3 linked regions of the Neurospora crassa OR74A genome follow. The protein of the gene in region 1 interacts with the protein of each later gene in a biochemical or structural test. Links are inferred from orthologs where the notes say so. Each region holds a gene or a part of one and is shown on either strand. Other genes may lie near its edges.

The links. The genes of interacting proteins can lie anywhere in the genome.
Region 2: the proteins of NCU06272 (region 1) and NCU09894 form a complex in vitro, tested with the Saccharomyces cerevisiae proteins (2 studies listed by BioGRID). The link is inferred for Neurospora crassa OR74A from reciprocal best matches to the Saccharomyces cerevisiae genes RRP5 and MAK21.
Region 3: the proteins of NCU06272 (region 1) and stk-13 form a complex in vitro, tested with the Saccharomyces cerevisiae proteins (2 studies listed by BioGRID, with this or other methods). The link is inferred for Neurospora crassa OR74A from reciprocal best matches to the Saccharomyces cerevisiae genes RRP5 and IPL1.

The regions. Positions count from the first base shown.
Region 1 is NC_026503.1:2,145,358-2,149,606, reverse strand, and holds the start of NCU06272 (mito ribosomal protein S16), read right to left. Parts: upstream 2,801-4,249; 5' UTR 2,639-2,800; coding exon 2,180-2,638; intron 2,122-2,179; coding exon 1-2,121. Other genes in the region: NCU06271 (hypothetical protein), read left to right, coding at 3,767-4,054, 4,129-4,249.
Region 2 is NC_026501.1:3,985,503-3,989,686, forward strand, and holds the start of NCU09894 (CCAAT-box-binding transcription factor), read left to right. Parts: upstream 1-1,384; 5' UTR 1,385-1,389; coding exon 1,390-2,196; intron 2,197-2,253; coding exon 2,254-3,930; intron 3,931-3,992; coding exon 3,993-4,184.
Region 3 is NC_026503.1:2,644,677-2,648,551, forward strand, and holds stk-13 (serine/threonine-protein kinase), read right to left. Parts: upstream 2,704-3,875; 5' UTR 2,409-2,703; coding exon 2,295-2,408; intron 2,235-2,294; coding exon 2,145-2,234; intron 2,051-2,144; coding exon 1,124-2,050; intron 1,068-1,123; coding exon 936-1,067; 3' UTR 501-935; downstream 1-500. Other genes in the region: NCU00107 (mitochondrial inner membrane protease ATP-23), read left to right, coding at 1-121, 206-433; NCU00109 (TipA protein), read left to right, coding at 3,359-3,875. UniProt on the Saccharomyces cerevisiae protein: Component of the chromosomal passenger complex (CPC), a complex that acts as a key regulator of chromosome segregation and cytokinesis.

The DNA of each region.
Region 1 (4,249 bases):
CAAGGCGGTCAACTTGCCACCGAACTGGACGAAGACAGCCGTAGCAGTGATGTTGCGAATATAACCAGAAACCTCATCTCCGACGCGAGCACCATCAAGGGTAGTAAGGAACTTGCCTTCCTTGCTAGCCTTGACAAGGCTGGGCTTCTGGGAGAGAATGATGGAACGGCGAGCCTCGTTCTTTTCCAAGATCACCAACTCGGCAAGAGTCTGGTTGACGTGAATTTTCTTGAGGGCAGACTGAGTCTTGCTGACCGACTTGTCCGTCAAGTGAGCGACGGGGAGGATGGCCTTGAGAGAGCTATCGGCAAGCTCAACAAAAACATCGTCGTCAGTTTTCTGCGTGACCTTAGCCGACACCACATCACCGATCTGAAGCTTCTTGAGGGCCAACTGCTTCTCAAGACCAAAGGCAGATGGGTCCTTGCAAGAAACAATAAGCTTGGCGGCATCGGGGTCGAAGCTGATGACGTAGATGCTGACAGTCTGGCCAACGCGGAAGTGCTCCTTGGGATCCTGAATGTAGGCCTCGCTCATCTCAGAAACTGGCAAGAAACCACGGAGCCTGCCGTAGAACTGCACAATCGCACCGTGCTGCAAGACGTTGATGATGGTACCGAGCGCCTGTTGGCCAACAGCAATTTGCTCATACGATTGGATGGCAGGAAGATCGGAATTGACGAGCGTCTTCTTGAGAGTAAGGCGGATCTGGCGAGAGGCAGCGTCAGTCGAGAGCACACGCGCCTTCACCTTCAGGCCTTCCCTGAACTTCTTCTCGGGGTTCTGAAGGTGAACGTCAGCGAAGTGCATCTCGGGGACCAAGCCAGAGATACCGTCAGCAATCTTGACAATAAGGCCACCAACACCGGCGGCGTTGACCACCATCTTTTCAACCACACCAGAAACAACTGCACCGACAGGAATGTCCTCGATGCGAAGGAATGGCTGCTCAAGAACACTCTTCTCCAAGGAAATGAGATACATGCCATCAAAGGCGTTGTAGCCGACAACCCTACCAGCGTGAACAGATCCCACCTTATAGGGTCCGCTGTTCTCGAAGAGGGCATCAACCTTGCCATCCTTGACGCGGGAGATGTGCACAAACCCAGACACGCCCTCGACACCAACATCGACGTAAAGACCGATCTCAGGCTCGACCTGCTTAACGGTGCACTTCTCCACGATCGTCGAGTGAGGGAGAGCCTGCAATGGCACCACTGGTTGGTCGTCCTTGGAAGCAGTCTTTGGCTTCAACGAGGTAACGTGTTTTAGTACAGAGATACCCAGCTTGGGGTGCTTTGCAGTAGGGAAGTTGCAGATGACTCTGGCCTTCAGACGAGAGCCGACCTTGTATGTGTCTTCAAGATCGATGCCATCCGGACCAGCGCCAGAGTGAACCAGATCAGCGGTGACATCCAGCGATCCCATAATCTTGCCAACAATTCCGTGGCTGGAAACCTCGGACACGAGCACGTCGGCGGCAGTACCGGGGAGGAATGTGTCGATGGTGGTAGCAGTCGAAGGGACGTTCTCGACGTTGCCCATGGTTTCACCCAATGTGGACAACTGAACGACCTTGCCCTTGGCGTTCTTGGTGACGATACAGAGGAGGACGGCACCTGGCTGCAGAGCCTCCTGGGGGATGCTCTTGTCGACCTGCTTGCGAGCAAGGAAACCTTGCAACTTCGAATCGGCGATCTCGATGTCCATAACATAACCGTGGTCCTCCACACTGGCAATGGCGGCCATAACTGTGCTGTTCACAACAACGTCTTGCTCCGCCATACCGGTGTTGGCGAGAGAAGGTTGAAGGGAGAGTTCGATATGGCGCTTGGCCTTTCCAGGGGTGTGTGTAGAAGCCTCGTCGACCGTCGATACAACGTAGGCGCGGACATACTGGCCGATCTGGAAGAGGGATTCGAGGTCAACGTCGTTGTCGTTCTCGTCTTCTGACTCTTCGGCATTGTCGTTACCGGCGCTGGCCTCCAAGCGTTTTGTTAGGGGGGCGGAAATCGCAGTGATGGGGACATGGCCGATAATATTGTTGGGTAGAGCAACGGCGATGTCGAGAGAGTTGATGGCGCAGACGGAACCAAGGACCAAGGAGCCCTTTACCAGACGCTGCGGACAGTTAGTACTTGGATGATAGGACTGAACCCATGAGTGTTCCGGCGCATACCTTGAAGTTGAGACTTTCAACCTTGACGGCGTCCGCATCGGGCTTCGCGGGTGTGTCGTCGGACTTTGACCTCTTCTTGGACTTCTTCTGCTTGCCCTCCTTCTCACCAGCCTTCTTGGCGGTGGCCTTGCTGGATTGCTCCTCGAACAGGGCGTCGTTCTTGGCCTGGACTTGGATTTGCTTGTATTCGAGAGGTGTCAGGATGCTGGCGCCGCCTCTGGGGAACATTGGCTCCTCTTCCTTGAGCAGCGTAGATGTAGCCGGGGCGGTAGGAGCAGGAGGAGCAGGCTTGTCGGACTTGGGAGCCGGCTTGTTGCCCTGCTTGCCCGTCTTTGCGCCCGCCTTGCTGCCGGCATCGTTGGACTTTGGTCTCTTTGACGGTCTCGATTCGGAGGCTGATTGTGTTGATTTGTTGACTGGGGCGCCGCCCGGGCCTTCCTTGCGCTTTTGCGCACCCATTGTGAACTGATGGGTATAAAGAAAGGACCTGATGGATGGACGGATGTGTTTGGAGTTGCAATTGGAGAGATACCCGCACTGGATCCCTCGTCCCTTTGCCCGCCTTCACACTTCAGAATGAATCGACAAGCACTGACAAAAACTGACCCAGGCCGCTTCCACTGTCCGCTGCCGAAAATTTTTGGTGGGTCCGTCGCCGTTCACCGTGGCCAGATAACGATAAGGAATGCGGTGAGCATCGGCTACGATTCTGCCATCTCTAGGTACGCGGGCCGCGTGCATGTCGGTTCGTTGCGGGTTCTGAGTCTTGCGGGGTTCCCCTGTAGGGGTACTAGCAGCGCCTGTCTTGTGTCCACGAGTGCCACGGCGTCAGCTGACAGGACGCTGTCACGTTCATGGCCAGGTACGTACCGAACCTTTTGCACGGGCGGAGACGGGCAGCCAACGGGCCAGCCGCATGCGTTGCAGGGAAGTACACGGTAAGTAGAGGTAGGGTACTGAAGGCCGTTAGGTACCTACACCCTAGAGATAGAGGGGATTGCTGAGAACGTGCTATCAATGAGTTACCTATTGGCCATTGCGAGGTACATATAATTCTCCAAGGCGGGATGTACAATTGTCTAGAGGTACCTACCTACACTTAACATGTCGTCTGATGTTAGGATCGTACGGTATTGGAATATCATTCTAGTCTGATGGAAGAATGAATTTGATACTACACTAGACCATCAAGTAGGTACTTGTAATAACATCAGCATTCGTTCACATGGTCCCCCTCTCCAGGTAATAAAGTGTAGGTACTTCGTTACCTATCCGGTTCCCCTGGACTGTGCGCTACCTGGCAAATGACGTACATGCATCCGAGCTGGAGCCTTTGATAATGGATGAAAGCGCTCCCTCCCCGCCGGCGGTACCCGTGTAGTGTAAGTAGAAGTACACATCGGATTTGTAGCCTGAGCGGTGCCTCGTCGGCTTGTCGACTTGTCCCTACGGTATAGGCGCCACGCAATACTCGTCGCATGCCCATTTTCGATCCTTTCAACTTGACGAAATAAACGGCAATGTGGCCAAAGTTTGCCCTATAATCTTAGGGGACTGGAATCTGTTAGGTTGTTGGCCTTGCTCGCCATGGTCTTCACCATGGGTCGTCGAAAAAAGGCGAAACCAAACCCTCCAACCGAGCCGGCGGATGGTAGTGCTGTCACCGAGTCCTCAACGTCCACATCCGATATGCCGCCGAAATCGTCCTCGAGCCTAGCAGCCTCTATATGGCGTTCAAAAGCCGTTCCAATGCCGACCGCTTCGAACCCACCTTCGTCGACGACGACCTCGACACCTGATAATGCTCTATCAACATCCCAGCCCAATGCGACCGCAAATACAACTCCTATTTCGAGCAAGCGAGGGCTGAAAGAGGTAGCCTATTTCTCTTCAGCCACCATATCCAGCCTGTTTAATGCCTGTTACACCCGATGCTAACAGACTCGCAGCCCCAGAAATCTCGGAGTTGGTATGGCTCATGGCCACGCAAATCGACACCCTCGACACAAGTCGCCCGTGAAACAATCATGGGCGGAACACTCAGATCAAAAAAGCGAGCAGACTTTAGCC
Region 2 (4,184 bases), on another chromosome or scaffold:
GGCAGCTAGCTATACTATTTGGAGGGTTTCTAGTACCCCTAACAGCTCTAATAAGGGGTATTAGGTACATTTGACACCCCTTATTAGCTCCCTCGAGGGGTCCCTGGCAATTGTAAATTTATATAGCGAGCCGGCTAACGGCTAGCACTTAGCAGCTAGTAGGTATACTATACTAAAATAATACATATAGTGAAATTCCTAGTATTTGTTAAGTATTTGCATTTATTAGGTCTAGCATTTACGAGGCACATTACTATAAATAGAAGTGTCCGGTGAGTGGGATTCATTAGTAAATCCAATATATACCCCACGGGCACTAAACTCCTAGTTGTAGGTCCTTCTACAAGTTAATACTAGTTTGTTTGTTAGTTTGGTTCTTTAGCTATACGTTGAATAGGAGAAATTGTTTAAAGCTTCTATTAGCCTTTAAAGAGAGAAAAGGGCCTCTGTTGGAAGCGTTATATAATAATAGCCAGGGTGGAAAATGCTATGGAAGCCTTCTTATACCCCTCTTTGTCTCATTTAGGACCTCCAAGACTGGAAGATATGAGAGAGTAGTCCCCTTTTAGTACCTGTCTGAATGAGGTTCAAACGTTTTTCCTACCCTCGACATTTGGTAGCTGGCTCTAGAGTAGAAATTGGCTTTTTTTTAGTACTAAACCTACAAACACACTAAAGTTAGATTGTACAATTCAATTCTAAATCAAATATTGAAAAAGTTTAATTGTACGGTCAATATTATCTATCCGTACGGTAATGAAAAATAGACTTTCATATTCTTTTTCTAACTTAATAGAGTTTAGTATTAACTTACCAAAATGCATTATATTTTTTCTGATCTTTTACTCTATCTAACACTCTTTTTGGAGTGACCAGACCTACCTAGTAGCCCTAGGAAACTCTCAAAGAAGATAGCTATTATAAATAAATAATTAATAAGATTTTAGATGAAAAAGGCTTAAGGGGTAGTTTTTCCATGATGCTTAGGGATATAGATTTGGTACCTACCTTAAAAAATTCCTCAAAAATGAACGAATAGTTTGGTGCCACTTTCAGTTTCATTAGTCTCCGTTTTACTAAGTTATACTTAATAAAGCAAAAGTAGACCACCGTACGGATAGACAATATTAACTGTACGATTAGACTTTCTCCAAATATTACCCAGCGTAGGACTTAACACTTTTAGCACTATTTCAGGCTTGCATCGCCAAACTCCACCGAATGAAACTTGATAAGAAAAAGTGTCAATCGAAGTACCGCGCCAATGATGAACCAGCCGAGGTTTGGAGAGTACTGCATAGTACATAGAGATTTGTCAGTGTACTGTGTACATCTGTACCTCCACTTGCTCCACTCTTCCTGCAAGACGCACGAGGGTCCGCTAGGTGCATGATCCAAGCATTTTTTTTTCCAACCCTTCCTCGTAGATGGTTTATTTTGCATCACCAACAGCCAACCTCGAGACACATTGTGCCGGCCCGCTGTCCATTGATTTCGGCAACGACGGATTTAGGAGATATGGGCTCATCCAAGTCACCGAGGCAAAGAAAGAGGAAAGGCATGGGGCCGGCTTTCGACGAAGCAGCAGCACTTGCTCAACTGACCGAAAAGATCGACCAAACTCTCGCTGGCGTCGGCACTGACCAACACGCGTCACCAAATCGCAAGAGACCGAACACCACAGCTGATGATCGAGATGCAAAGAGGCGCCAGAAATCTCTACTGGGCACTGAAGAAGGACAAGAGGACCGTTCCAGCAAAGACCAGTCCCACAATGCAACAAAGGAGGTTCTGCTGGAGGAAATTTTGGCCTTGGGCGGAGACGAGGATGATCTTGAGCTTGTCGCCAATGTTGATTCCGACAATGAAGAGGGACCTGGCATGAAATCTGCGTCGGCGCCCGAAAAATCCCTGGATAAGTCATTTCATGAGGAACTGACAAAGTTCGCCTTGAGCCTGGGCTTCCAGAACATACCCCGCGAGGATGACCTTGAAAGCGTGTCGTCTGAAAACCCCGTCGACGAGGAACAAGACGAAGAAGACGACGAAGAAGAGGACGACGACGCGGAACAAACAAAACAGGATGACAGCCAGGATCAGGAACAGCCTCTAGCCATTTCTGCCACAGTAAAAAGTGAGAGCACAACTACGACCGCCCAAGACACCCTGCGCGGGAAGAAAGGCAAGAACAAGCTGGTTAGTTCGACGCTCTCGCTGCCGCAGACTTACCTGGCGGTATGCTAACTTGAGTAGGGTTTTGAGCCCAGACCTGACTGGCATGCTCTCGACCTCGAGGGCCTACCTGCCTTCACACCATCTGCCGACGTTAGGCAATATTCTTCAGCGATTGCCAACCTCAAAGCTTACGCGGACGCTCTCTTGAAGGAGGACGCGGCAAGATACAACGCCCTCCAGGCCTCCAGCTCCACTCAGAAGTTCATGTCGACCATTATGTCTTCCGGCACCTTATCCGACAAGGTATCTGCCTTAACCTTGTCGATACAAGAGTCTCCTCTCCACAACCAGAAAGCCTTTGAAACCCTGATCGGGTTGGCCGGCAAGAAAAGCCGTAGTCAGGCACTCGCTGCCCTGGGCGCTCTAGTGGATCTGCTGGGCAATGGCACAGTTCTGCCAAGTAATCGCCGGCTTCGTCCGTTCAACATGCAACCCGCCTTGCTGGCCGCTTTACAAGATCAAGCTGTGCTGCATTGGGTTCAGGGCCAGAAGCTCCCAGCCAAGCTAACTGATTCTTACCTGATGATGTGGGCATACGAGGATTGGCTCAAAGCAGCGTATTTTCGCATTGTCCAGCTCCTCGAAATCTGGTCGACTGATCAGATTGAGCATTCGAGAATGCGCGCGCTGGAATTTGTTTTCACATTGCTCCGGGACAAGCCGGAACAAGAGGCCAATTTGTTGCGACTTCTTGTTAACAAACTCGGTGATCGCGAACGGAAAATTGCATCTCGGGCGTCATACCTCCTCTTGCAGTTGCTCAACATTCACCCTGCGATGAAAAGCATTGTCATCAGCACGGTAGAGCAAGAGGTTTTGCTCAAGCCAGGCCAAGGTCTGCGCACCAAATACTACGCCATCATCACCCTGAATCAAACCATCTTGAGCACCAAAGAGCCCGCTATAGCCAACACGCTACTCCGAATCTACTTCGAGGCTTTCCTTTCCCTCCTCAAAACTGGCTCATTGGGAAACCTGGAAGCGCTAAATTCCGAGGACAAATCTGGCGGCAGCAACAGGAAAGCTAAGAAGGGCAAGCGAAATCACACCGAGGCTTCTGCCAACGAGCAGGATACGACACAAAAACTCGTATCCGCACTGCTTACTGGTGTCAATCGTGCGGTACCCTTCACTACCGCCGACGATGAGACCATGGAAAAACATCTCGATACCTTGTTTCGCATCACGCACTCGTCGAACTTCAACACCAGCGTGCAAGCACTCATGCTCATTCAACAGCTCGCCGTGACCAAACATCTCGCTGTTGACCGATTTTATCGGACATTGTACGAATCATTATTGGATCCCAGACTCATCACGTCATCGAAGCAAGCATTGTACATGAATCTACTTTTTCGAGCCCTGAAGAATGATGCCGACGTGCGGAGAGTGAAGGCTTTTGTCAAGAGATTGGTTCAGGTGCTTAACCTGCATCAGCCGTCCTTCGCATGCGGGGTGCTATATCTGATTTCCGAGCTGGAGAACATGTTTCCTGACCTTCATTCGTTGCTTACTGTTCCCGAGGAGAATGAAGATGATGGCGTGGAGGCTTACAAGGATGTCAATGATGATGCGGCTCTGCAGCGCAGTCTCTTGCGTGAAGACGCACCAACTTCCCGTCGTGCCACAGGATATGATGGACGAAAGAGAAATCCCGAGCATAGCAATGCGCACAGAAGCTGCTTGTGGGAATTGGTAAGTGCCTATTTGAACTCTGATTGCATGTGAAACCAGTTTACTAACCTCAAAACCACCAGGCTCCTCTTCTATCTCATTTCCATCCATCCGTACACGTTTATGCCAGTAACCTTCTCGTCCGTCAAAAGGGCCTGCCGAAGCCGGATTTGGCCAACCACAGCCTCATGCATTTCCTGGACAAGTTTGTCTACCGCAACCCCAAGATTACCGAGACCAAGCGCGGAAGCTCAATCATGCAGCCGGTCCTCGCT
Region 3 (3,875 bases), about 500 kb from region 1:
GCGCAACCGAGGACACTTGGAGGATACGCTGGCGCATGAGATGGTGCATGCTTGGGATCATCTGAGGTGGAAGGTGGATTGGTTCGGGGAGAAGAGTTTGAGGCACGCTGCTTGCACTGAGGTGAGTTCCCTCTCCTTTTCCTGTTCCGTCTGTTTCGTTTCGAGCTGGAAGGACAGTTGCTAATCTTTGGGATGTTCTGAGCAGATCCGAGCATCAATGCTTAGCGGCGAGTGCAGATGGACACGCGAGTCTATTGTCCGAGGCAATTGGACGCTTACCCAACAATTTCAGAACTGCGTTCGTATGCGAGCCATCCAGTCGGTTATGGCACGACCGACGTGCAAGGACGATGTACATGCAACAAAGGTGGTCAACGAGGTGTGGGACTCGTGCTTTTCGGACAAGAGGCCGTTTGAGGAGATTTATAGGTGATCTCGGGCCTGTATCGCGGATGCAGAGGGCGTTTTATACCATGTACTCCTGCTGTTTTTGTGATGAACGTTTCTTGACATGTACAATCAATGATACCACTTCAACTTGAGATTCCAGCTCTGATCTTGTGGCGCTGATATATACACTGGTCACACATGTGATACATAAACTAAAGTCAATGTCCAGTCCATTGCTCGCTAAATGCCGGAACGTAGTTACGTATATGCACAGATAATGAACTCACAAGCCTCCTCCCCTTGACAATACGGGGATCCTGATCCTAGCCCTCTTCCTCTCGCTCAAACGCCCAAGAACGCCCGTATTACAACATGAACAAGAAAAGAAAGGAAAAGAAAAAAAAGGAAAAAAAAAAAGAAGAAAAAAAACAAGAAAAAAACAAGAAAAACAAGCTAACAATGCAAGTAGGCTCCACGCTTCCGCAGTGCTCGAAGAAAGTTCGACGGATATCAGACAAAGTAAAAGCAAAGCCAAGAGACACCCCTCAGTTGCCCATCTTACTTGCCATTTTCTCCCGGTTCGCAGCTCTTTCTCCCTTGACGCAGTGCTTCAAGATCCAAGGGTGGTTCTCCACCTCCTCCAAAGGAAGACGCTTCTCAGGGTCGAGTACCAGCAACTGGATAATGGGTTAGCATTGAAAGACCATCCTTATGGGAAACAATGACTTCTTACCTTCTTGATCAGATCCTTTGCCTCCTTGCTGACCCACTCGGGAATGGTCATATCCGCCCTCGCAATCCTCTTCTGTGTCATGATCGGCGTATCCTCAAACGGCGCCTCGCCGACCAAAAACTCATACGTCAACACGCCCAAGCTCCACAAGTCCACTTTCTCATTGTACCAGTTATCCTTGGATCCGCTCCGGATCATCTCTGGCGGCAGGTAATCCAGGGTTCCGCAGAGCGTCTGCCTCCGGTTGTTGGGCGCGTGCACGCTCCAGCCGAAATCCGATATCTTGATTTCCCCGTGAATGCCCACTAGAATGTTCTCCGGTTTGATGTCGCGGTGGATGACGTGCTTGCGGTGCAAGTATTTGAGGGCGGATGCCATTTGCGCAACATACTGCGCTGCTTTCCATTCGGGGAAACGGTTTTCCTTGCGCAGGTGCTTGTACAGCTCGCCCTTGCCGGCGTACTCGAGAATCAAAAAGATGCGCTTGCTGTCATGGAAGTGTCCGTACAACTTCAAGATATTGGGGTGTCGTAGGTTGGATTGAATTTCGATCTCGCGACGCACTTGCTTCTCGACTCCAGTGCCGTGTTGCAATTCCGACTTGTAGAGCACCTTGAGGGCACAGATGAAACCAGAGCTGCGCTCCCGCGCGAGGTATACGCGGCCGAATTTGCCTTTGCCAAGCGGCCGACCGATTTCAAACATGCCAAGGTGGAATTGTTTAGGGGATATCGACTGTTCGTAGCCGGCGCTAGAGGATGACTCGGATGTAGATGTACCTGTCGAAGACACGCTAGCGGAGGCCATTGGCTGCGAGAGTTCGTCGTGATCATCGTCGTCGACTCTACGAATGCCGGCGTATGTTGTGGACTTGTGAGCGGCGGATGAAACAATGGTCGAAGATTTCGTGGCAACGGGAACGGTTCTCTGTGGTTTTCGTGGTGAGGGAGGTTCGCTAGAGATGATGGGCGGATTCTTCCTTTGCGCGATCTGCGAAGGAACAAGGAACGGAGGTGCTTACTACGGTATTGCCGCTTTGCGATTGAAGGGCTACTTTGAAGAGATTCGGCCTGCCGGGGGCGCTCGTGTGTTGGACTTGACTGGGACCTGCCTACGATCGCGCAAATCAGTCAGAGAGGCTATCACGCAAACAATGTTGTATAAATCATACCTTTGACTTGAGCTCTCTCGCCTTTTGCTGAAGTCGAGCGCCATCGCTTGGATCGTTGTTTTCGTCATGTATCGACATGCGCCCGAAGCGTGACTCCATTGGTTGGCCCGCCATCTTGGGCACGACGATTTCTAGGATCGCGAATGAGAAACAGTCGCCAGGAAGTCTAGGTGGGATGTTGCATAGATGATGGGAAACTAGCGGGCGGGCGCAAAGCAATACACTCGATTCCTAGGGCGTCGTGTTGAAAGCGCAGGCCACTTCAGTATTTATTGGTTGAAGTTGGTTGTCAAGCAAGGTTGGTTTTACACAAGGCCAGCGAAGTTGATGCTGATTGGAGTTGAAACGACACTTCCCAGATGGTGGGCCAGGATTGGGGCTTTATTTACCGGGGCTCAGTTCCGTTGCCTAGCAACAGTCATTGTCTTCCACTTGTCTGGCTGCGCCGAACCTTCCCTCCTGGGCTCCCTGATCAAACAACTGAGACCAGCAATGATAGGTGCAGCGGGAAGGTGGGCTGGGCTCAGCAGCGTCCAGAGGATTACAGGAGACACGCCCTTGGACTTAACAACCGGGAGAGACCTGACTCGGTGGTAATTGACACGGCAATGAATATGACTGTGAGGATCTCATTTGTCTGATATCTTTTGTTTTTCTCAGATTTGGCAGAAGCACCTTTGATGGCAGATGTCGTCGCAGCGACGGGATTAACCCGACATCCAAGCAACGGAATCAAGCCCTGCCGCCCCTGCAGGTGCGCGCTAACATCGGAGCTGGATGGGGGGAGGGCCCCGCTAAACCCCGCTAGATCTCCAAGCTGCTCTGAGCCTCTGACAGTTTTCATTTACTATCTGGACATGGCAAAACTATCGGCCTTCTTCGCACCATCAGCTGCTGGGAATTGTACCAAGCTTGACGTTTGACCTCAAATAACGGTCTGACCTCTTACATTTCCACAAGCACAGCAACAACTGGGCGTCAAATACCTCGAAACGCCCTCGCCCGTACACAACAGTGACCGAATCCCTTACCCGACGACGACGACGAGGACGACGACGCCCACCATGACGTCCGTCAAAATCAACCACATATCATCGCTCAATGAGCCGTACCCCTCCCCTTCGGCCCTCGAAGCCGCCACCACAATGCACGTTCAAGGCGCCTTCGTTGTTGCTACGCGTAAGCTGCCCATCCTCAAATCAGGTCCCATCGACGCCATGTCGGAGCGGCTAGGAATTCCAATTCCCGAGATGATCTTCGGTGATAACCTGGTCTCGATCACGCACCGGCCAACGGGCTGGTCGATCGAGTTCAATGCCGAGGACGCGCTCGAGCGCGTGGACAAAACGGGCGAAAAGATGCTGCAGGTGGCGTACGCGGGCGAGTGGAGCTCGAGCCGCGAGAAGACGAGCGCGGGCATCAGCGAGGTGGTCAAGCCGTTTGATTGGAGTTATACAACGGACTATTGTGGGACGGAGAGGCCCGGCTCAACCGGAGGGGCTGAAGGGAAAGAAACAAAGTTGCATGGGGACGAGAACACACCGGATATACCTATTGAGCTCCTGAAACGGCGAGACCCGA